Xenopus tropicalis: one gene and its partners. The protein of the gene in region 1 purifies or fractionates together with the protein of each later gene. This does not show direct contact. Links are inferred from orthologs where the notes say so. Each region holds a gene or a part of one and is shown on either strand. Other genes may lie near its edges. The genes, in order: ptpro, sdf2l1 and dnajb11.

Region 1 (8,489 bases):
TTGCCTGATGTTTAATCTCCTACAATTGGACCTAATACAGCCGCAATACCGGCACATCCGCTCTCCGGCACCAAAGGAGATTTCCAGAAATCACCAGCAATCCCTACATGACGGATTACATAGATACACGCATGGATTACCTAGTTACACACGGATGACACAGTTACATTCATGGATTACAGAGTATTACATGCAAAATAACTGCCAGTAACAGCTGCCAATGTCTGGGCCAGGACATCTAAGAAGAAACCAATCAGCCAAACTGGGTCCCAGGACCAAGTTGCGATGGGATCTGGACGGGTCACTCTGTATCACTGAGGGTAAATGTAAGAAAAGAAGCAGAACCACCCCTCGAAACCTTCATGCCCCCGCGCCAATCAGCAGAGCTCACTATTAACCCTATAAATACTGTACCAAGCACTGTATATGAATAAATCTGCCCTCATCTGACTCAGGCTGAACCATGGGCAGTTAGGGCAGTTTTATTAGTTATCAGGCACCGAGGGCTCAACAGACAAATTCTTGGCTTCCAGGAATGTGCTGATCCGACTCCTGTGCCGAATGGACATTGCATAAGTGGAATCTAAATAACTGTAAGTGAGTGAATGAACCCCCCCCCCCGGCCCGTCAATTCTTCACCTCACACAGAAGTGGGGAACAAACTCACAAGTACAAAGTAACACAATCAAACCGACCCCACAGGTTCCATGAGACCATGAGAGAGGGTCAGATTGGGCCCCCAGAACACCAGGAGTGCCCTGGGCCCACATAGTAGCCAGTCCGACTCTGAACCTCACTTAAATCAAGCATGTAGAACTCTATTTGACATTACCACAACCAATCAAAGGGCTACACTAACCTGCAGCCAATCAGATCATTTAAACACAAAAAGGGCTAGACCAACCTGCAGCCAATCAGAGCATTAGCACTTGATGGACTTTGGTCTTTTTTCAACCCAACTTAACTACCCGCCAAACTACCCAACTATGTATGTTAAACTCACAGGGCTAGACCAACCTGTAGTCAGACAACAAATTAGAACATTGCCGTGACTAGAACAACTTGTTGCCAGTCATAGCAATAGAACATTCTTTGGGCTAGACCAGTGTATAGCCAATCAGAGTATCAGAACATTTCCAGGAACAGACCTGTAACCATTCAGGATTAAAGGGGCCATTCATGGTACTCAGACAGATCAGCCAAAGGGACTATCTGACAGTTTTAGAGGCTGGGCACATATATGGCCACTCTTCAATTGGTAAACTGCCCAAATAACTAACGGGACAGACACCGGGATAGCAAGACTATTTGTTTTAACAGAACCCCCCCCCCATCACTTGCCATACCTTCCCAGATAAATGGACAGTATGGTCGAAATCAGCCAAACTGCCAAAACAAATCTGGGCATGTATGGTCAGCTTGGACAGACATGGGTTGCTACAAGTGAAGAGCAATTTGTTATCCAACTACCTGGCCTACTGGGTCTGGCCTATTCATCTGCCTGACGTCCTGAATTACAGTGAGAGTGGGCTGTAGGCTGTGGGCTGTCAGGTTTGGATCTGCCAATGCCTAATCAAAATATTAGAGGGAAGGGCCTGCATCAACCAATGAAGTTCTTAAGCAGGACAGACCAGTTGGGATCCAATATAATAGCAAATGGGTTTTGAAACCTTTATGCTAACGTGGCCATAAGTGCCCAGGTAAATAAACAGAAAGGTCAAACCAGGACTAACTGCCACCCAAATCCAAGCATGGTGGGTTTATTTAAAACTGTGAGTGTACAAAGTGCCTCTGGGGTTTTATTTGCCTCTAATGCAAAGCAAGTAATACCTTAGCTCTAGATCCCTGTATAATAAGGGTGGATATGGGCACCTCGTCCCCTAGTAGAGGGGTTCAATATAATAATAAAGCCCCATATAATACAAGATGGATATGGTGCCCTTCTCCTCCCATGGGGTGGGTAGAACAACAGAGAGCTCAAAATTATAACATGCCAGCAGAAGAATGGAGAGGTCTGCATAATAAAGACAGAGATTGGTCCTAGAAGATAACGAGGGAGGCTGTATAATATGGATACAGATCGGCCCTCCTCCCATAGAGGGGTCAGCACAAGGATGGGGGTGCTCTGTATAATAAATATAGAGATGGGCCCTTTGGTTTATAAAGGCGTAAGTAGATAATGAGGAAAGCTGTATAATATGGATACAGATCGGGCCCTCCTCCCATAGAGGGGTCAGCACAAGGATGGGGGTGCTCTGTATAATAAATATAGAGATGGGCCCTTTGGTTTATAAAGGCGTAAGCAGATAATGAGGAAAGCTGTATAATATGGATACAGATCGGGCCCTCCTCCCATAGAGGGGTCAGCAGAAGGATGGGGGGCTCTGTATAATAAATATAGAGATGGGCCCTTTGGTTTATAAAGGCGTAAGTAGATAATGAGGAAAGCTGTATAATATGGATACAGATCGGGCCCTCCTCCCATAGAGCGGTCAGCTGAAGGATGGGGGGCTCTGTATAATAAATATAGAGATGGGCCTTTTCATTTATAAAGGAGTAAGTAGATAATGAGGAAAGCTGTATAATATGAATACAGATCGGGCCCTCCTCCCATAGAGGGGTGAGCAGAAGGTTGGGGGGCTCTATATAATAAATATAGAGATGGGCCCTTTCCTTTATAAAGGAGTAAGTAGATAATGAGGGAGGCTGTATAATATGAGCAGAAGGATGGGGGGCTCTATATAATAAATATAGAGATGGGCCCTTTCCTTTATAAAGGAGTAAGTAGATAATGAGGGAGGCTGTATAATATGAGCAGAAGGCACACCGTGCAATTAGCGACTAATCGCATTCATTTAGTGGCTGTAGGTTAATATATACATCGCCGCAACCAATCACAGTAATTGAGCACTGAGCAGCTGTAGGTTAATATACACATGGCGGCGACCAGTTGGGCATTTTCTGTGCCCATTAGTTGCCACGACTTTTTTAAAAAAGTAATTTTTAAAAATCGAATTGTGTGCCTTGCCCTTATAGTTTCATTTAGTTGGGTGCTCTTTAAAAACACCAGGAATTCAGATAGGAGGGTTTATTTAAAACTGTGAGTGTACAAAGTGCCTCTGGGGTTTTATTTGCCTCTAATGCAAAGCAAGTAATACCTTAGCTCTAGATCCCTGTATAATAAGGGTGGATATGGGCACCTCGTCCCCTAGTAGAGGGGTTCAATATAATAATAAAGCCCCATATAATACAAGATGGATATGGTGCCCTTCTCCTCCCATGGGGTGGGTAGAACAACAGAGAGCTCAAAATTATAACATGCCAGCAGAAGAATGGAGAGGTCTGCATAATAAAGACAGAGATTGGTCCTAGAAGATAACGAGGGAGGCTGTATAATATGGATACAGATCGGGCCCTCCTCCCATAGAGGGGTCAGCACAAGGATGGGGGTGCTCTGTATAATAAATATAGAGATGGGCCCTTTGGTTTATAAAGGCGTAAGCAGATAATGAGGAAAGCTGTATAATATGGATACAGATCGGGCCCTCCTCCCATAGAGGGGTCAGCAGAAGGATGGGGGGCTCTGTATAATAAATATAGAGATGGGCCCTTTGGTTTATAAAGGCGTAAGTAGATAATGAGGAAAGCTGTATAATATGGATACAGATCGGGCCCTCCTCCCATAGAGCGGTCAGCTGAAGGATGGGGGGCTCTGTATAATAAATATAGAGATGGGCCTTTTCATTTATAAAGGAGTAAGTAGATAATGAGGAAAGCTGTATAATATGAATACAGATCGGGCCCTCCTCCCATAGAGGGGTGAGCAGAAGGATGGGGGGCTCTATATAATAAATATAGAGATGGGCCCTTTCCTTTATAAAGGAGTAAGTAGATAATGAGGGAGGCTGTATAATATGAGCAGAAGGATGGGGGGCTCTATATAATAAATATAGAGATGGGCCCTTTCCTTTATAAAGGAGTAAGTAGATAATGAGGGAGGCTGTATAATATGAGCAGAAGGATGGGGGGCTCTGTATAATAAAGACAGAAATGAGTCCATTCCCCTATAAAGTAGAAAAGGCTGTATATTATGGGGGTCTCTCTCCTCCAATAGAGGGGTCAGTAGCAGGATAGGATTCAGTATTATAAGCACAAATTAGGGGTCCCTTCTCCCATAGTGGGGGGTTCAGTAAAAGACTAGGGGGAGGGAGAGGGATAACGCCCGTCATTATATAGATCGCATTCTTGGGGCCGGGGGTGAATAATAAAGATTTAGGGCCCCATACTCCCTCTCACCTGCAGGAAGATGATGATGAGGAGCCAGGTTAGAATGGGGATCATTATGCCGGCGGGCCGCAGGGGCCGGGGACACGGCCGCTCTCAGAAAGGATCAGCGGCTCCGGATCTCTCTCCGTTGGATCAGAGGGGAATCTGGCGTTAACGATGGGTTGGCCGATCCTCTTGGTGTGAGCGATATCCTGGCCGGTCTCCTCCCTCCCTCTCCCCGGCTGCCTGTCAGGCTGGGACCGATGCTGCTGCTGCTGCTGATGCGGGGGGGCACACGGTGATGTCACGGTCACATGGTTGGGGGTTGGAGGCAGATAAGCTGCGCCGGGGAAGGGTGGGTGCAGGGGGCAGAGATGGGGCTACATCAGATAATGCTGAGATGGGGGGTTCGGTAGGAAAGTGGGTTTGCAGCCAGGGCGGAAGGGTGCTGATGGGACTAGGTGGGTGCTAGGGTGGGCTCGGAGGCTGGTATGTGGGGCTTGGGTACCAGGATGGTTGGCACCAGGATTGGCAGATCTGAGCTGGGAGAAACTGCTCAAGAAAATGAAACTATAAGCGAAGACACACCGTGCAATTAGCGACTAATCGCATTCATTTAGTGGCTGTAGGTTAATATATACATCGCCGCAACCAATCACAGTAATTGAGCACTGAGCAGCTGTAGGTTAATATACACATGGCGGCGACCAGTTGGGCATTTTCTGTGCCCATTAGTTGCCACGACTTTTTTAAAAAAGTAATTTTTAAAAATCGAATTGTGTGCCTTGCCCTTATAGTTTCATTTAGTTGGGTGCTCTTTAAAAACACCAGGAATTCAGATAGGAGGGTCAGTATGTTGCACCCAGTTTATCTCTATAACAAGGGTTGGCCACAGTGTTGGACTGGCCCACCAGGAACCAGGGAAACTCCCGGGGGGCCCAGGCATTAGTGGGCCCTCCTGCCCCTGATCATTTGGCCTACTTCATGGCCATCCCTATTTCTGTATGGGAACAAAGAGGAGAAATAGAGGGAAGGATAGGCACTAGCATGGAAATAAAAGAGACTTGGAGAATAAAGAGGTTGGGTGAGGAAAGGAGGGAAAATAGTTTGGAGAGTGAGCCTATGGGCTAAGGTTTTCTGGGGGCCCCTGGGGTTAGGGGGGTTAGGTTATTAGGGTTAGGGTCAGACACTGGTTGGCCAAACTCTGCCAAATCTGAGTGCCAAAAATGATAATTTGACCTTTTTCTTATAATCATGTGAATTTAGACCAAAAGTAGGGTTATTTGGGGCAGATATTTTTGTCCCATGATTCCACTAATTTACATATTAGGGTCCAACTCCAACTTTTCAGTTGGTCTTCATTATTTATTTGTTATAGTTTTTGAATGATTTGCCTTATCCTTCCAACTCTTCGCAGCTTTCAAATGGGGTCACTGACCCCGGCAGCCACAATCTATTGCTCTGTAAGGCTACAGTTGTATTCTTATTGTTTTTTAAAATTATTTTTCTGTTTAGGGTCCTCTCCTATTCATATACCAGTGTCTCATTCAAATCACTGCCTGGATGCTAAGGTAATTTGGACCCTAGCAACCAGATAACTGCAAAGTCCAAACTGGAGAGCTGCTGAACAAAAACTGAAAGAACAAAAAAAAACTACAAATAATAATGAAGACAAATGATGAATAGCACTCTCAACATCATACTAAAAGTTAACTCAGAGGTGAGCAACCCCTTTAAATTTTGGGTACAGCAGAAAACACCTGGGGTCAAGCTGATGCCGGATCTGGGATCATTTCTTCGAGTGCCTGTTGCAGGGGGCTAATAGAGAGGGGCAGAATGTGTGATGGGGGCATGAGAAGCCCCCCACACAAGGAGAGATACAGGGTTGTGCGTTAGTCACAGGGGCTGCTGGGATATAGCAGTTCAGTGCAGGGTGGGAACTAGGGGTAGGCAGCACAATGGGGGGTGGGGGGCACTAGGCAAGTCCAGACTTAAATATAAAATAGGCTTCAGCATTTCAGCAATTAGTCAGAAGCCCAATAAATAGAGACTACATATACCGTTCTATAAAGCAGCCCCTCTGGGGTTTGCCAGTTGGCAAGTAGGGCGGGCGGGGGGGGGGGGGGAATAGTGATGGCTGTAACTTTGCTTTGGGTGCTCTTTGTTTCTGGCTCAGCTTTATTCAGCACAGTGAGGTTTAATAATGTTGTGGCTTCCCTAGTCTGAACAGAGACAGAGGAAATTATATGTACTGTATATACTCGAGTATAAGCCTAGTTTTTCAGCACCCAAAATGTGCTGAAAAAGTCACCCTCGGCTTATACTTGACTTGGGTGCCATGGGTCCCTCCAGACTAGCACCCTCTGTCCTTTGTGTGCAAATTAGGCCCCCCCACAACCAGACCCTCCAGTGCCTGTTGTTTTTGTTGACCCTCTTCTCCACTTATAGAGCTAGTTTACTGTTTTTCTTTAAAATAAATATTGAAAAACATATACCCCACTGATGCCTCAATTAATGTAATTGTATTGGTATTTATTTTGATTATTAAAACTTAGCAGTAGCAGCTGCATTTCCCACCCTAGGCTTATACTCGAGTCAATAAGTTTTTCCAGTTTTCTTAGGTAAAATTAGGTACCTCGGCTTATATTCGGATCGGCTTATACTGGAGTATATATACGGTAATCTTTATATAGAGATGCAAAATACATCGGCGCTATATATAATAATAAAGGGGTCTCTTCATCATTTGGATGGCCATACCTTAAGTTTACTGAAAAATCATTTAAACATTAAATACACCCAAAAGGATTGTTTTGCCTCCATTGAGTATTAATTATATCTTAGCTGAAAACAAATAGATGCTGTTTTATTCCTACAGAGAAAAATTAAATCATATTTAAAAATTAGAATTATTTTATTAAAATGGAGGATGGAATTGTTTAATTTGGAGCTTTCTGGATAACGTATCCCATGCCTGTACTTGGAATTGTCTCCTTTAAAAATGCAGAGACCAATTATCTTTTACATAAGAGGGAAACCAGCAAAGATACTGCCCCAGTGTCTGATTGGTTCTCTCCATTTGTCTGTTCATTTGGGAATGGAAAGCAGTAGAAGAAAGTTGAAATTGAAAACCCTGACATACAGTATAGCCTTTCAAAATTATAAAGTAAACTGAGCCAATCAACCACCCCAGAATGGAAATACTAACACAAACCAAAGAACTACTGGCTTGGCTGACGCACTACCCTATTGACCATCTAAGCCTGGCACTGCCAACATGAATGAGGGTGCTGTTTAAGTTTGGGTCCAAATCTAGAACTAAGCTTATGTCATTGTGGCCTTTTATTTATAAAAGAAACTACAAACATTCCCTAACGAGATACGTTATAGAATGGCAAATTCTAACAAACTTTTCTGTTGGTCTTCATTTTTTATCTTTTATAGTTTTTGAATTATTTCCCTTCTTCTTCTGACTCTTTCCAGCTTTCAAATGGGGGTCACTGACCCCGGCAGCCAAAAATCTATTACTCTGTGAGGCTCATGTTTTATTGTTATTTTTATTCCTTATGTAGGGTTCCCCAAAATTTGGGTCCCCTAGGATGGTTGCCCCCAGGATAGACCCCAAGGGAGGGTAACACCTAGTAGTGGGACACCTTGGGTGGTTTGGTACTATAAGGGTTAACTGGGATTTAGCTTCCCTGCAGTTCAATAGTTAGGCCACAGGGTGCACACAGTATATAAAGTTGTGCAGCCATGTGCCTTGAGGTCTTTCAGCCTGGGACCCCTCTTGGATAAGAGGTATACCACAGGTTAGCATTAGACAGTTAGAGAATTGTTATAGACCACTCTAGGAGTGGGAGACAGGTTATCTAGTTGGGCAGCGTGGCCCCGACAGGAGGTGTAATGGATTAAGATCCACCAGCACTCATAGCTGGAGTCAGGGTATAAAGTGTTAAGTATAGGAGATTAGCCTGATCCAGGGGTATCTAAGTGGAAGTACCGGGGTGAGGTCTGCTGAGGGGGTGTCCGCTTGGCGGGAGTACCGGGAAGTGCCCTAGAGAGGGGCTTCTGGCGAGAAGTACCGGGGGGAACCCCTAAAGGGAATCATCTGGCGTGTAGTACTGCTAATATCTCGTGGAGAGAGGGTCTCTTAAGGAAGAGGGAGTATACCCTGACTGTCTCATTGCTCCTGTGTGTAACCTGCCTGTCTGATACATCTGTGA
Region 2 (7,244 bases), on another chromosome or scaffold:
TTATAGAGAATAACTCAATATTTCCCTGATATATGAATGCTTGTTAACTGGCAGCCTAAACTGTAAGTTTGTGATTGATTGCTGTACCTTTTTCTCGTTTAAATGCAAAGGAAAGCCACACTAAGCGCACCCACAACTATGTAGGCTCTATTCAGATAAAATACGGATTCTTAACCTATGAATCTGGCCCAAAAATGGGTTTCCTTGCTGTGTAAATTGGGTCACATAAGTTTCTTCCAGCATTAGAGATTTAAGGCTGTCATGATTTTTATGTTGTACTTTTTAATTCTAAATTACACTGTTTACATAGCAAATAATTCAGTCTACAAATTAAAATGTTATTCTTGAACCAACAAATTTATTGTTTTTAGTTGTAATATTGGTGTGTAGGCGCCATCTCAGAAGGAGCCAGAGCTACAAATTAGAACACCTTCCAGGCAGCCTATTGTTTCTCCTACTTCCATGTAACTGGAGGAGTCCCAAGTTGGACTTCTTACTATTGAGTGCTAATCTGATATCTACTATATATCCAAGTTTCAGCTCAGCAGTAAAGTGTGACCTGAAGTTTATCAGAACACAGGTCACATGGCTGTGGCACCCTGGGAAATAAAGAGTATGGCTAGCCCCATGTGAAATTTCAAAATTAACAGATTTCAATGCAGGAAGCTCTATTAACTGATGCATTTTGAAAAAAACATGTTTTCCCATGACATTAATACTTTAAAATGAGGTGCATAGTTGGTTCTAAAGGAATTGGGTCACAAAATGATTTTTCGACTTAATTTGGGTCCCCAGAGAAAAATGTTAAAGGAACAGTAACACCAAAAAATTAAAGAGTTTTAAAGTAAATGAAATATAATGTACTGTTGCCCTGCACTGGTAAAAGTTGTGTGTTTGCTACAGTAACTCTACTATAGTTTATATATAATAAGCTGCTGTGTAGCCCCGGGGGCAGCCATTCAAGCTGGAAAAAAGGAGAAAAGGCACAGGTTACATAGCAGATAACTGATATGCTCTGTAGAATACAATAGTGTTTTATCTGTTATCTGCTAAGTGCCTGTGCCTTTTCTCCTTTGAATGGCTGCCCCCATGGCTACATAGCTGCATTCTTTATATAAACCATAGTAGTGTTTCTGAGGCAAAACACCAGTTGTACCAGTGCAGGGCAGCAGTACATTATATTGGAATTTCTTTCATACACTTGATTTTTTGGTGTTACTGTTCCTTTAAGAAACACAGATATACTGATAGTTGCATTGTGTACCTATAGTAGCATACCATGGCAGTTAGAAATACTGCCAGAGCATGCTGTTAAAATACAACAGTTCTGGTTGGGTGACAAACTTTATTAGTGTGGAAAAATATGTGTAAAATTGGCTCTGTGCTTTAAATCACCCATGCAAACAATGTTGCCTTCTGATTCTTTTCCATGTGGATCAGCTTTAAAGGTGGCTTTGAAAAGCATCTGTGTTATTCTTTTTCGCAAGTGCAGGAAGACATTAGCAATGAGGAAATGTTCATATTTGTGCCCTGTATGGTCTGTTTTTTATATATATATGTGTGTGTGTGTGTGTCAGCACATACTGACATTATGGGTAAAATTCAGTTACGAAGTTAATGTACATACACATGAGTTATTTATAGGCTCACACTTATCATTATTAGTGCCGCTTTTGTATGCTTTTCAGATTTCTGGTTATCCTAAAGGTGGGTTCCCTTCTAAATTGCAACTGATTACTGAATGTGAGTCAGGCTTTTCTTCTGTTCATGTATGGTTATTTGCTGTTTGTGAGCAAGTGTAAAACAAGTATTTATATATTTTGCCAGGAAGGCTTCTTTAAGAAACTACTGGTTAAAAAACTAAATGTTTGAGTAATATAGATTTGGGTGCATACAGAAGTTGTATTTCATTATTTGGTATTCTGCAACTGTGTCCCTTAGATCCTTTTTTGAATGCTAATGTAAATCCATGTAAAATATATTGTTGAGTACATTATTACAATTATGTTCTTTTTTTCCCAAAAAGGTAGCGGTCAGCAGTCTGTCACTGGCGTGGAGGCCTCAGATGATGCTAACAGCTACTGGAGAATAAGGGGCAAGACAGATGCCGACTGCTCACGTGGGGAGCCCATCAAGTGTGGTCAAGCTGTCCGTCTTACCCATGTGAACACTGGAAAGAACTTGCACACGCATCACTTCCCTTCCCCTCTTTCTAACAACCAGGTACATATTATCAATGAAATTTGAATCTCTACAGATAGAAACATTACACAAAATCATAGGTAGGGTTGGTTCATTTTTTTGCTGATTGGCCAGTAATGTAGAATTCACCATATCTTAGTAGCAAGACAATCCAGGTTGAAAGTGCCTAAACTCTAGAGTAATTTTGAATACTGAGGTTATGAACAGAAGTTTTCATATCGCTTTAGTTCCTCAAGCTTTTATGAAAGTGTTATGGCTCGCCCTTTCAGGTTTTAGTCTTCTCTTTCAAGACAAGCTGACGTTTTTTCTAAACTAGATAAAAGGTGAGCCAGCAAACTATTTGTTCTTATTATTGCTTGTTACAGGTATATACTTGTATTTGTTATAAATTAATATTGTCCTTGTATCGCTTTAGCATAGGCAGAAGAATGAAAGTGGTTGCAAAAAAAGAGGGCTACTTATGCAGCAGCATCTTGAATATTTGGTCATGTGTGGTCTTTAGAGTGTAAAGAAACAGCATATTTATTTTAACATAGCATCAAGCTTACGTTTAAACTCTTTTAACAGGAGGTAAGTGCTTTTGGGGATAATGGAGAAGGCGATGATCTGGATGCATGGATGGTGCAGTGCAGTGACACACTCTGGGAACGCGAAGAGAGTGTTCGTTTCAAGCACATTGGCACAAATGTCTACTTAACAATTACTGGGGAACAGTATGGACACCCAATTCGAGGCCAGAGAGAAGTCCATGGTATAACTAATCCAAATGCTCACAACTACTGGAAGGTAATGGAGGGAGTGTTTCTCAAACAAAGCTCCCCACCAGGTGCGAACAAACATGACGAATTGTGAAGAACATCAAAACCTGTAAAGCCCCTCTTACTACTGGGGCTCCATGTGCTCCTGGGGGCTGATGTACTTGAACACAGTAAACTCTACTAGGTAGTAAAAATAAACACAGATCTGCCTTTATGAATGATACCAGCAGCGCTTCTAAACTATGTGGCACTATTCTATGTCACTTTTCTGTACAGATTTATTTCTTAAAAGGGATATAGTTTGGTTATTGTGTGTTTTTTTTAGATCTATATTTTTAAACCATTGTTTGTTGTTCTGTTTCTTTTGAACTTGATCCAAACTGTAATTTTTTCAGAATATATCTGTTAGGTGGAAAAGGCATAATAATAACATTTTCAATGCACTTAATGGTTGTGACCAGTGCTCCCTTTGGGAAGAGACTCAAGATGAAGAATTATTTTTACCGTGTTTCTGACGGAACAGTTCACAGCAACCTTCACATACCTACCGTTGGAACATTTAATTGGAAGGTTTCTGCCTGTTACATCTCAGTGGATCTAGATGGAAACTATTAATATAATTCACCAATTTAACATTTAAAAATTCAAAGGACCCCTTTGGCATACAGAATACAAAGCTTCAGTTGTATAATGGTTGAATTTGTCTTAAGAGAGGTCGATGGGCCAAACCTATGGCTCCCAGCATACTCAAATTTTTTTTTGAGAATATGATATTGTTGTTTTATAATAATCAGGCCCACCAAATTAGTAAAATAGAATAATTGGCCCATTGCAAGCAAATCCTGGCTAGCTATGGCTTGGCCTCTAACATCACTATAAACCCATAACATTACAGATTAATAATAATCATTTAATAATGATCATTGTGTTGCGAATTAATGTTTTACAAAAATAAAATAAAGCAGATTAAAACCTCTTTACAGACTCAGACTTGTATAGAGTAATAACCATCACATGGGCTTCTTGGCTGTTAACCCCTTTGACTCAAGTTCTTGTCCTGTGTAAAATATGTTCCATGGTTGTTGATCAACTTGTCCATTGATCTTGATAACCCTAAACCAGCACGAGGAAATTGAGCATATAAATATGACAAACTGGTTGCACACACAATCCTGAAAAACAATGTGGGATAAGAAAAATAAAAAAACTATATGAACTGTAAAGTGTTGTACAGAATTCAAGCTGACCACCTGCCTGTGCTTTTACAGGCTTTGTGTGTGCTGCCAGTTCTACTAGAACAAACAAATACTGTTAACAGCTGTTCTTGGAATATCATGTTATTAGTCCTGAGAATACTTTTTGTTTGCTTTTTATGCCGCACAGACTGAAGCTTTGCAGAGTTCATGTTTTACACTGAACCCAGGTAGATTTGTCAGAATGATTAAGCCATGATGTTACTTGTTGTACTCAAATAGAAAAAAGAGAAATAAAAATTGCACTGGTCAGACTATATTTCTGTTTGCTCCACTTGCATAAATATGCACTAAAGTGTTTTAGGGGTGGGGAAAATGTGTTTTCTTATTTTCAAACCTGTTTTGCATGCTAACATATATCCTATGCTGATTTGAAGTATATAAATCTAGTAGAAAGACTGTGACACGTGAGCTTTCCTGACATTATTAATACAGGTATGGGATCCAATGCGTATTACGGAAAACCTGTCTCCCATAGACTCAATTTTTATCAAATAATTCAGATTTTTAAAATGGATTTCCTTTTTTTTCTGTAATAATAAAACATTGAATTTGATCCCATCTAAGATGTAATTAATCCTTATTGGATGCAAAATAGTCCTATTGGGTTTAATGTTTAATTGATTTTTTTAGTAGACTTAAGATATGGAGATCCAATGTATGGAAAAACCCCTTATCCGGAATACCCTTGGTCCCGAGCATTCTGGATAACGGGTCCTATACCTGTATACAAATCATTAATAATGTATTTTCCTTATTAATTATATAGCACCACAATCTCCTGCAGCACTCTACAGCTTAAGGGGGTAACATTTCACAACCAGAAACATTGTTACAATTGCATTTTGTTGCTTTCTAGACCTTACAATGTAATAGGCAATCAAGTAATCAAGGGTGACCAATAGAGTTGAGGGGTAACAGGGTGTTTGACAAGACCACATGTGAATCCCAAAAGGTTGAGGGAGTGTGTAATGGGCTGGGGGAGGGGGATACAGAATATGGGCGCAGTATTTAAAAAGTTTTAGATGCAGGAGCAAGAAGAAAAGAGGCCCTGTGCAAACCTAAGGTTACATCTATGGGTGAATTTGGTAGCTAGAGAGGTGATGTATGGTGGTGCAACACTGAGTGATTTGTAGGTGGGTACATGAATGTAAGGCTAATGCCAGACGAGTCGTAGGGCGGATATTTTCGGCAAGCGGAAAATCGATTGCCGAAAATACCGCCCTACGCCTCCTACATGTGCCTGCTCCCCAATAAATGGAATACGCTCAGGTGCAGGCACATGTAGTGGAAATACGCATAAAAACGTGAGACTTTAAAACACGCGTTTTTATACGTATTTCCACTACATGTGCCTGCACCCAAGTGTATTCTATTCATTCGGGTGCAGGCACAAGTAGGAGGCGTAGGGCGGAATTTTCGGCAAGCGGTTTTCCGCTTTCCGAAAATATCCGCCCTACGCCTCGTCTGACATCAGCCTTAGATCAAACTTTTGTTTGAAAAATAGTGCAGGGACTGGCAGAGAGGCGTGGCACTTGTGAAGAGGGAGGAGAAGTGTATGAGTCTGGCAGTAGTATTCATTACGAGGGTGTCAGCTTAGAGAGGGGAGTCCGCAGAACAGTATGTTACAGTTCTTTTTAAGGGATGTAACAAGGGCATGGATGGGAATGTTGCTATCTCCTCTCTATTAGAAAGGATTTATTAAACTCAGGATGAGATCCAATATAGTGCAGTGTCCTGAATCCCCAATGGAAAGGGAGTCGAAGGCTGCAAATTGATCAGTTGGAATGTCAGGGATAGAAATCAGACTTTAGTGGGTCCAGTAGGGAGTTCGGTAATGGATAGTGTGAGAGTTCAATGTGTAGATGCTGTCCAGTAATTCTGATAGTTGGAGAGGGTTGTGAGGTCTTTTGGCAATTGCACTTGCACAGTAGACTAACATTTCTGATTTACTATTTGCATTTGCGAACAAGAATCTGCACAAGAACTACCTGGGATGCTGGAAGAAAGGTAAGTAAAATGCAGGTGCTGCACTTACAACATTTTTTGACTTACGGTATATATAAAGAAAAGTCTGATATCTCACTTAAAAAGTTAACCTTCTCATTTGGAAAAGAACAATACCAGGCAGGGATGCCATAATTATGACCCCATACACAGTCCAGTAGGCTTAAAAATCCTTTAAAGAGTCAGCAGGCAGTATTAGACCATGTATGGCCATTATTTACTACAAGTATATTTAAAGGTGTAGTTCACCTTTAAGTTAACTTTTATTGTGACGTAGTCAGTGGCAATATGTAATATCAGGCATACACACCACCGTGCTATAGCAGTATTTAAAGGTGTACTTAATTACATAATGGAAACATTTGTTATATATTTGCTGAGCATGTAATACAATTGTGCTGCACTAATTCCCTGGGTGTTCTCTTTCTTTTCACCCACACACCTTTCTCCTGCTCTGTATAATTATGAGAGCACAGATTCTTTCTGCTAATGTTGATCTATGATTATTTGGCTCCTGTAAAAGGAATCTACATTGTAAGACTAGCAGAAGCCTGCAGACACAATTCTGGTAATTATATTCCATTCTCCTAGCTGTATTTAGAGCTGTTACTGTAAGATTCTGTGGTATGATGATCTAATTGCATGGCTGTTGTTCATCTGTGCCACTGTAGTATGTGGCTTTCTGGCACCAGCACAAAAGAGCACTTGGTAATATAGTTAACTTGGTAAAAGGAATGATTATTCATACTTCTAGAAAGCCCCATCTATTGAGGGATTTATTAGTAATAAAGAACCAAATTGGCTAAGCCTGACTTATTATTTAGTATGTAACCGTATAATAGTAAATGTGTATTGTTAGCTGTTTACATTTTGAAGGAGTACGGTAGATTACCAGTATACAACCCACTGTCACCCTTTGTAGGGACTATTTTGTCCATTATACAGGAATTATTTGTGCACTGGTAATCTAATTATCTACCTTGCAAGGACCAAATGTGACAGTTTCCCTGTTAGCTCAAGAAAT
Region 3 (8,734 bases), on another chromosome or scaffold:
GTTGCCCATGTTACAGAGGTCAGTCTGGGTGTTTCAGATGAAGACCAACTGCAGATTGTCTCATTGGCCATTTTTTGTTGATTGGCCATTTCCACAGTCATTACAATGGCACAGCTGGGGATAACATTTTTAATTGACATTATTAATGATATTGGCATCTCTAAGTAAATTTGCAGAGTATCCATCTTCTGTAGTAATTATTCTTGCACGTCTAGGTTTATGTTTTGGTGAAACGGGTGTGGGCAAAAAGTTGGTGTAGTTAAAAATAAAAATATTGCCATGCTGCATGCAGCAGAATTATAGGGCCCCACTCTTTGGATTTTGGCCCAGGGCCCACCAAGGCCTTAAAAAGGCCCTGCAGCTTGCTTTCATTGTGGGACTCTTTGTCCCTTAACCTGCCCAGGAGCCAGTGTACCATAATATGCAGTCAACCCCAGACTCTCATTCAATCTACTGCCTGGTTTCTAGGGTAAATAAGACCCTAGCAACTGGATTGCTGTTCAAAACCAAACTGTAGAATTGCAAAGCAGAAACCTAAATAAATGAAAAAATAAATGAAGACCAACTGCAGATTGTCTCATTGGCCATTTTTTGTTGATTGGCCATTTCCACAGTCATTACAATGGCACAGCTGGGGATAACATTTTTAATTTACATTATTAATTATATTGGCATCTCTAAGTAAATTTGCAGAGTATCCATCTTCTATAGTAATTATTCTAGCACGTCTGGGTTTATGTTTTGGTGAAACGGGTGTGGGCAAAAAGTTGGTGTAGTTAAAAATAAAAATATTGCCATGCTGCATACGGCAGGATAATAGGGCCCCACTCTTTGGATTTTGGCCCAGGGCCCACCAAGGCCTTAAAAAGGCCCTGCAGCTTGTTTTCATTGTGGGACTCTTTGTCCCTTAACCGGCCCAGGAGCCAGTGTACCATAATATGCAGCCAACCCCAGACTCTCATTCAATCTACTGCCTGGTTGCTAGGGTAAATAAGACCCTAGCAACTGGATTGCTGTTAAAAACCAAACTGTAGGAATGCAAAGCAGCTAAGCAGAACTCTCTCTTTATATGGCTGGAGTACATAAAAAGTTACCTATAGGTCATGTTAATAATTTTTCACTGATAGGGCTGCTTTTGTAGCAACTGTTTTGCCAACCTGACTGTCCCTTCTCAGCCTGTCATTTATAGCTTCTAATGCTAACAAATGCTTAGAAATGCTTCTAATGTAAATATGGAAGCCCCCTTATAGAGGAACACAGGGGATCAGATAGGTAATGGCAAATAGTTTAATGGCAAAATAATAAAGCTCATGCAAAGACAATGTTATAATATATTTAAAAAATGGTTTAGTTTTAGGTGTCTGTATCACTTTAAAAGGCAGATCCTTTACTCTCCCTGTTGTCTCTCTTTCTGCTCTTCAGATCTGGCTGGTTACTGCAGAAATGGCCCACTCTGTGGTTTGGCTTCAATCCCTGTCTCTATCTGGGTCTTCCTGTTTTCCGAGAGGCAAATTGGATTTCTCTCCATTCTGTAATCACGCTGCATGATGTCACAGACAAAAAAAACAGGGGAAAAGGCTCTTTGATGCCCTACACTATATCAGTTACTGACATTAGTTAATGTGACTTCACCAAGGGTGCTCACAGGACCGTTATGCTGTCCCAGATTGCTCACTGCACATGTGCACATGTATGCACACCATTGGGGAAACTTAAAAACTTGAGGGAATGGCATACAGTGAGAGGAGGCAAGGAGGAGAAGGACCAAAACTAGCAAACTCCCAGGAAACCCAGGGGGGTTGACAGCTATCTAATGATGAGATTGTAGATTACAGTTTATGATGTTTTAGTGCAATATTTATGGTGAGGACTGTCAGGACAATGTAATTGTTTAAATGGATTTTTAAATATACACCTATTATTAGAATTTTAAGAAGGGTGTGATGGTGACATCTATAGATATTTTGTGTATTTTTATTTATATAGCACTACATACCACCAACTGTCCCACTTTCCGCGGGACAGTCCCGGATAGTTCCATGAATGTCCCGCATTTCCGTAATGCGGGACATTCATGGAACTATCCCTGACAGCGGGATGGGCTGGCTGTAGTCAGGCGTTCCTCCTCTTCAGTGGCTCCTCTCTATATGCGGCTCCTTGTTCGGCGGAGCCAGGCCCTTTTATAAGGTTGCGCCCGTGCGTATTGACGTCACACGCACACACGCAACCTTATAAAAGGGCCTGGCTCCGCCGAACAAGGAGCCGCATATAGAGAGGAGCCACTGAAGGAGAAGCAGCAGCAGCATGTATGGAGGCTCTGTGTATTGGGGGGGGGGGTACTGTGTATGGGGGTGCTACTGTGTATAGGGGCTAATGTGTATGGGGGCTACTGTGTATGGGGGCTACAGTGTATGGGGGGCAAAGCTGATACATAGTTATAACTCACTTATAACTGTCTGCCTTCTTTCTATATTTGTATTTTATATGTAGGAGTTGCTATATTGTTTTCCTTAGGTAGTACAGTATACAGGAGAGTATAGCACATTTGCGTCTGATCCCGCCATTTCATCTACTTGTAGATTGTAAGCTCTTTTGGGCAGGGCCCTCTTCACCTCTTGTATCGGTTATTGATTGCTTTATATGTTACTCTGTATGTCCAATGTATGTAACCCACTTATTGTACAGCGCTGCGGAATATGTTGGCGCTTTATAAATAAATGTTAATGTAATATACAAAAGGAGTATTTTTTAAAAAAATGGGGTGTGGTAATTGGGGCGTGGCCACTAAAGCGGGCGTGGTCAAAATCTTTTTGTCCCTCTTTTCATTTTTCAAATGTTGGGAGGTATGGCACTACTATATAGGCAGTGCTGTACAGCATAACAACACATTCAAAAACAAGTAGGGGCCATTAATATAATAGATAAAGGCAGAGTACAATTACAAATAAATAAAAAGTACAGTTGCATTAAATATTCCACAGAGCTAGATGACGTGCATGGAGGTCCCTGCCCCACAGAATTTACAATCGAAGACTATTGAAACTAAAGCTTAAATTATATAGAAGCGTGCCGTGTTGTATTGCATTCTCATGTAAAGTTCTGATTGCATTACGCACATTAACAATCATGTCATTTGGGCGAATTTAAAATTTGCTCAAACACTGCTGTGCTGTTCTTTTATCTTTCTTCTCTATTGACATTATTGGCGTCAAGGCAATTTTTACAGACCAGGCCATAGCCATTCAATGTAAGAAAGCACATAAACGCGCGTTCTATTTCCCGAGGTGCAGGATCAGTCGTATAAAACCATAAGCACGACCATTTACGTATTACTATTGGCTGTACAGCTAAGCATGTACGTTTGCCATGTCTGTGAATATCATTGGACAAAATCACGCGGAAACTACACAGCAAAATCTTCTTATTGGTTATTTATATATGCGTGTCTTATGACGTGCTCCGTTGTAATTGGTTGCGGCGCTGTAGTATTACGTTTGCTTCTGCTTTTCGCTAAATACTCCTCGTTGTGGTGAATGTGAAAATTGAGAAACTTGTCTGTTCCTCGTATCTGAATCATGAAGGTCTGCTATAAATCCACTACCGGTGTTTGCTTCTTAATATTTTACCTGATGGTCATTGTCAGCGGAGGGTAAGGATCGCGTTATTTGCAGTGGTTACCCTTTCATTTAACAGGATTGCATTCATAAAATGTAAATTTGGATTAAATGCAGGCTTCCTTGAGTGGCTGTTTGTAACTTTAAATTTTGACTTTTTGTTTAACCATTAATGTATGTTTTGGCTATTTTATTATAGTTCCTGTGTGTCAACCTGTTTCCACAGACTAGATTTATATGTCATATACTGTATATTACATGTTAGTATGGGACCGAATTTGTGTAACCAAAGGTCTTCCACCATGTTTTTTTTAATTACTTTCTGCAAAAGTCCGAGTATGCTGTAAATCATATTTCACAATGGAGATTTTAAAAAATTGCATTTATGCCAGTGACATGCAGAGTGGGGAAATTAAAGTAAGTAAAATGTAGTGATTGGTAAATGGAACATTTTTTGGTATTTTGTACTATAGATGAAGGGGAAAGTGATAGGAACATAGGGAGAAAGTGATGAGAACAGATATGTCTATGAAGATTTTCATTCATCCAGGTCATGGTATATCTAGTATAAATAAATTTAAAGCAACTGGACTTGTTTGGTAATCATTGAAGACGTTTCACTACTCATCCGAGCAGCTTCTTCAGTTCAACTGACTGGTATGGGAAGTCCTCAGCATATATACTCTAATTATACTTATATACTTCAAGAGTATTTATGCTGAGGACTTCCCATACCAGTCAGTTGAACTGAAGAAGCTGCTCGGATGACTAGTGAAACGTCTTCAATGATTACCAAACAAGTCCAATTGCTTTAAATTTATTTATACTAGATATGATGAGAACAGAGTGAACAAGATGAGGGAAGCAGCAAAAGAATGTTTAACAAATTGAGCTTTAATATTTTACAGTAGATCAAGAAAAGCCTGGTGTTTTGTTTGGTGACTGTTAGTGAAGGTGCAGATTTGGCAACCATTCGTCATAAAAATATTATACAGCAACACTTGGCATTTCCATTGTTTAAAGTAATATGGAATAGATTCATATAATTATTTCATTGTTTTTACTATCTAAATGCATATTATAATGTATAAAACACATTTAGAACAATAGGTCATGAACAATAGTTATGTAAGCCGAAAGTAATGTTAAAACCCGAAAACTTTGAGTTTGAACGGATGTTTCCATGAATCCTCTTTATTTTTCCCAAACAGGAATTACTCCAGCAGCCATTTTAGGAGAATTGGCGCACATTCAAGTTTCACTTGAAACTGGGTGAAATACAAAACAATGATGGGCTTAACTTCCACTTGAAAACGTGTGAAATAGAAGTCAATTAACTTCCCTTTGAAACTACGTGCAACAGAAAACAATGAGGGGGATTAATTTACACTTGAAACTGGGTGAAACAGAAAGGGGGTTTACTTCTCCTTGAAAATGTGTCAAGGACAAGCTGTCACTGACTATTCTATTTTTCTTCTAATAGGACCCAGTGATACATGATAGATCAAACCTGCCTGATTTTTTTTTTTATTACCCCCCTCAAAAAAATTCATAAATCACAAATGATGGGATTATTTTCGTAAAACTCTAATTATACGGGAAACAATATCAGAAAAATCGAGTACTGGCAAAAACCCATTCGTAAATCTGATCGTAATTGCAAATGATGGTGTAGAATTCTGCTGTTAAGAAGTTAAAGGAAATGTATACCCCCAGAATGAATACTTAGCCAGCAAATAGTTTATATCATAATAAGTGGTGTTCTAAAGAATCTTACCAAACTTTAATATATTTCAGTAAATATTGCTTTTTTTACCTTGAGCCATCATTTTGTGATAGTTTGTGAGCTTCCTTAGAGATCACATGGCCAGAAATAATGCAGCTCTAACTGTTACAAGAAATAGTGTTGGAGTAAAAGTCAGAATTTTCTCCATTAATTGGCTGACCTAATATGTATGTGTGCCCTTGGTTTATTTGTGTGCACCGTAAATTGTATGATACCAGGGGGTGGCCCTTAGTACTTATAATGGCAATTTTCTATTACCCAATGGCACATACTAATAAACTTTTATTTATAAAAATGGTTTATTTAGTTGGACAGAGTTTTACATATGAGCTGTTTTATGCAATATGTTTTTATAGAGACGTACATTGTTTGGGAAGTATAGTTTTCCTTTAACTTCCTTCGGCCTCCACTCTAAAAAGTGCAACAATACAAGAATGTAATTCTCAGTAACATTGAATTTTTTTATTGATTTTATTTTTTTTTGTAATTGCAGTTGAATGCATTATTTGCTTATCCCAATATCCCCATCACCTATTTGTTTATCCCTTTATATGCTCTGGCTCTTAAAATAGAGTAACATAAATAAGTTATCCTCCAATTCTGTTAAAGGAGACATTTTATATAAAGTTCATATTCAGTTCTAATATTCATCCTCCCTCAAAATGTGAAATGATGCAGAAAGAAAGATGTTTTGAAAGCATTTTTCCTCCTAAAACTGGCATTATATGAGAGCAGCATACAAAAGAGAGGAGCGAGTAGAGCAGGAATGGACTGTCTGTGAGCTCACTAAGCCCCAACCACTCTATGAATATTCACTTCACTTTAAGTAGGTGAGGAGGGTGTCATAGAAGTCTATGAGGGCCGGTGGCTCTGAGTGATATACTGAAGAGTCTAAACCGGAAGCTGGCATAAGGTCTGGGTAGAGCACAGTTTTCAAGCAGTTATGGACATATTTGAACCCAAAGGTATTAAAATAAAAGCACTTCCTTCTATTTTACAGTTTTTTACATGGTTTAGTGCATTGTAAAAATTTATGCTATATATCCCCTTTAATTAGTTAACTTCTGCTTCATTGTTTCAGGAGTGAGACCCAGTCATACATAAAATATGTAACTATGTTATATACAGTGGTGTGAAAAACTATTTGCCCCCTTCCTGATTTCTTATTCTTTTGCATGTTTGTCACACTTAAATGTTTCTGCTCATCAAAAACCGTTAACTATTAGTCAAAGATAACTTAGATTGAACACAAAATGCAGTTTTTAAATGAAGGTTCACGTTATTAAGGGAGAAAAAAAACTCCAAATCTACATGGCCCCGTGTGAAAAAGGGATTGCCCCCCTTGTTAAAAAATAACTTAACTGTGGTTTATCAGTTTCAATTTTCAATTTCAATATCAATTTCTGTAGTCACCCCCAGGCCTGATTACTGCCACACCTGTTTCAATCAAGAAATCACTTAAATAGGAGCTACCTGACACAGAGAAGTAGACCAAAAGCACCTCAAAAGCTAGACATCATGCCACGATCCAAAGAAATTCAGGAACAAATGAGAACAAAAATAATTGAGATCTATCAGTCTGGTAAAGGTTATAAAGCCATTTCTAAAGCTTTGGGACTCCAGCGAACCACAGTGAGAGCCATTATCCACAAATGGCAAAAACATGGAACAGTGGTGAACCTTCCCAGGAGTGGCCGGCTGACCAAAATTACCCCAAGAGCGCAGAGACAACTCATCCGAGAGGCCACAAAAGACCCCAGGACAACATCTAAAGAACTGCAGGCCTCACTTGCCTCAATTAAGGTCAGTGTTCACGACTCCACCATAAGAAAGAGACTGGGCAAAAACGGCCTGCATGGCAGATTTCCAAGGCGCAAACCACTTTTAAGCAAAAAGAACATTATGGCTCGTCTCAATTTTGCTAAAAAAACATCTCAATGATTGCCAAGACTTTTGGGAAAATACCTTGTGGACCGACGAGACAAAAGTTGAACTTTTTGGAAGGTGCATGTCCCGCTACATCTGGCGTAAAAGTAACACAGCATTTCAGAAAAAGAACATCATACCAACAGTAAAATATGGTGGTGGTAGTGTGATGGTCTGGGGTTGTTTTGCTGCTTCAGGACCTGGAAGGCTTGCTGTGATAGATGGAACCATGAATTCTACTGTCTACCAAAAAATCCTGAAGGAGAATGTCCGGCCATCTGTTCGTCAACTCAAGCTGAAGCGATCTTGGGTGCTGCAGCAGGGCAATGACCCAAAACACACCAGCAAATCCACCTCTGAATGGCTGAAGAAAAACAAAATGAAGACTTTGGAGTGGCCTAGTCAAAGTCCTGACCTGAATCCTATTGAGATGTTGTGGCATGACCTTAAAAAGGCAGTTCATGCTAGAAAACCCTCAAATAAAGCTGAATTACAACAATTCTGCAAAGATGAGTGGGCCAAAATTCCTCCAGAGCGCTGTAAAAGACTCGTTGCAAGTTATCGCAACAGCTTGATTGCAGTTATTGCTGCTAAGGGTGGCCCAACCAGTTATTAGGTTCAGGGGGCAATTACTTTTTCACACAGGGCCATGTAGGTTTGGATTTTTTTTCTCCCTAAATAATAAAAACCCTCATTTAAAAACTGCATTTTGTGTTTACTTGTGTTATCTTTGACTAATAGTTAAATGTGTTTGATGATCAGAAACATTTTGTGTGACAAACATGCAAAAGAATAAGAAATCAGGAAGGGGGCAAATAGTTTTTCACACCACTGTAAATATTTATAGTAACTGTAAAACCATTAACATTTGTATCTAATGTATTCTGGAGAGTTGCTAAGGTTCATATTTTTGAGAATGATAAAAAATCAGTTTTTTTAAACAAAGAACACTTTAAAAAAGTAAAACTTTAAAAATGGAGAACTAAAGCTCAACAAAGTAGTAGGGTAGAAATGCTGCACATTATGTTTTGAGATTTTTTTTACCAGTACAAGGCATCCACAACCATTTAGCAGAAGTTCTGTGACCTTGAAGATGCCCGTAGTTACTATGTTGAAAAAAAATAACCGAAGTCCATCTATTTCAATCCTTCCAAGTGAATCCAGCAAACACACAAACCTAAACTAACCTATCTATACACTCGCATACATAAACTACTGTATATACAGGTATTGGACCCATTAATCAGAATGCTCGATACCAAGGGTATTCTGGATAAGGGGTCTTTCCGTAATTTGGATCTCCATACCTTAAGTCTACTAAAAAATCAATAAAATATTAATTAAACCCAGTAGAATTGTTTTGCATCCAATAAGGATTCATTATATCTTAGTTGGGATCAATTACAAG

Evidence for each region.
Region 2: the proteins of ptpro (region 1) and sdf2l1 purify together in Homo sapiens (affinity purification with mass spectrometry; 3 studies listed by BioGRID and IntAct, with this or other methods). This does not show direct contact. The link is inferred for Xenopus tropicalis from reciprocal best matches to the Homo sapiens genes PTPRO and SDF2L1.
Region 3: the proteins of ptpro (region 1) and dnajb11 purify together in Homo sapiens (affinity purification with mass spectrometry; 3 studies listed by BioGRID and IntAct, with this or other methods). This does not show direct contact. The link is inferred for Xenopus tropicalis from reciprocal best matches to the Homo sapiens genes PTPRO and DNAJB11.

What each region holds. Positions count from the first base shown.
Region 1 is NC_030679.2:84,723-93,211, reverse strand, and holds the start of ptpro (receptor-type tyrosine-protein phosphatase O precursor), read right to left. Parts: upstream 4,525-8,489; 5' UTR 4,342-4,524; coding exon 4,297-4,341; intron 1-4,296.
Region 2 is NC_030677.2:153,822,676-153,829,919, forward strand, and holds the end of sdf2l1 (stromal cell-derived factor 2-like protein 1 precursor), read left to right. Parts: intron 1-2,026; coding exon 2,027-2,223; intron 2,224-2,769; coding exon 2,770-3,054; 3' UTR 3,055-4,467; downstream 4,468-7,244.
Region 3 is NC_030685.2:43,692,682-43,701,415, reverse strand, and holds the start of dnajb11 (dnaJ homolog subfamily B member 11), read left to right. Parts: upstream 1-3,557; 5' UTR 3,558-3,575; coding exon 3,576-3,649; intron 3,650-8,734. UniProt on the Homo sapiens protein: As a co-chaperone for HSPA5 it is required for proper folding, trafficking or degradation of proteins.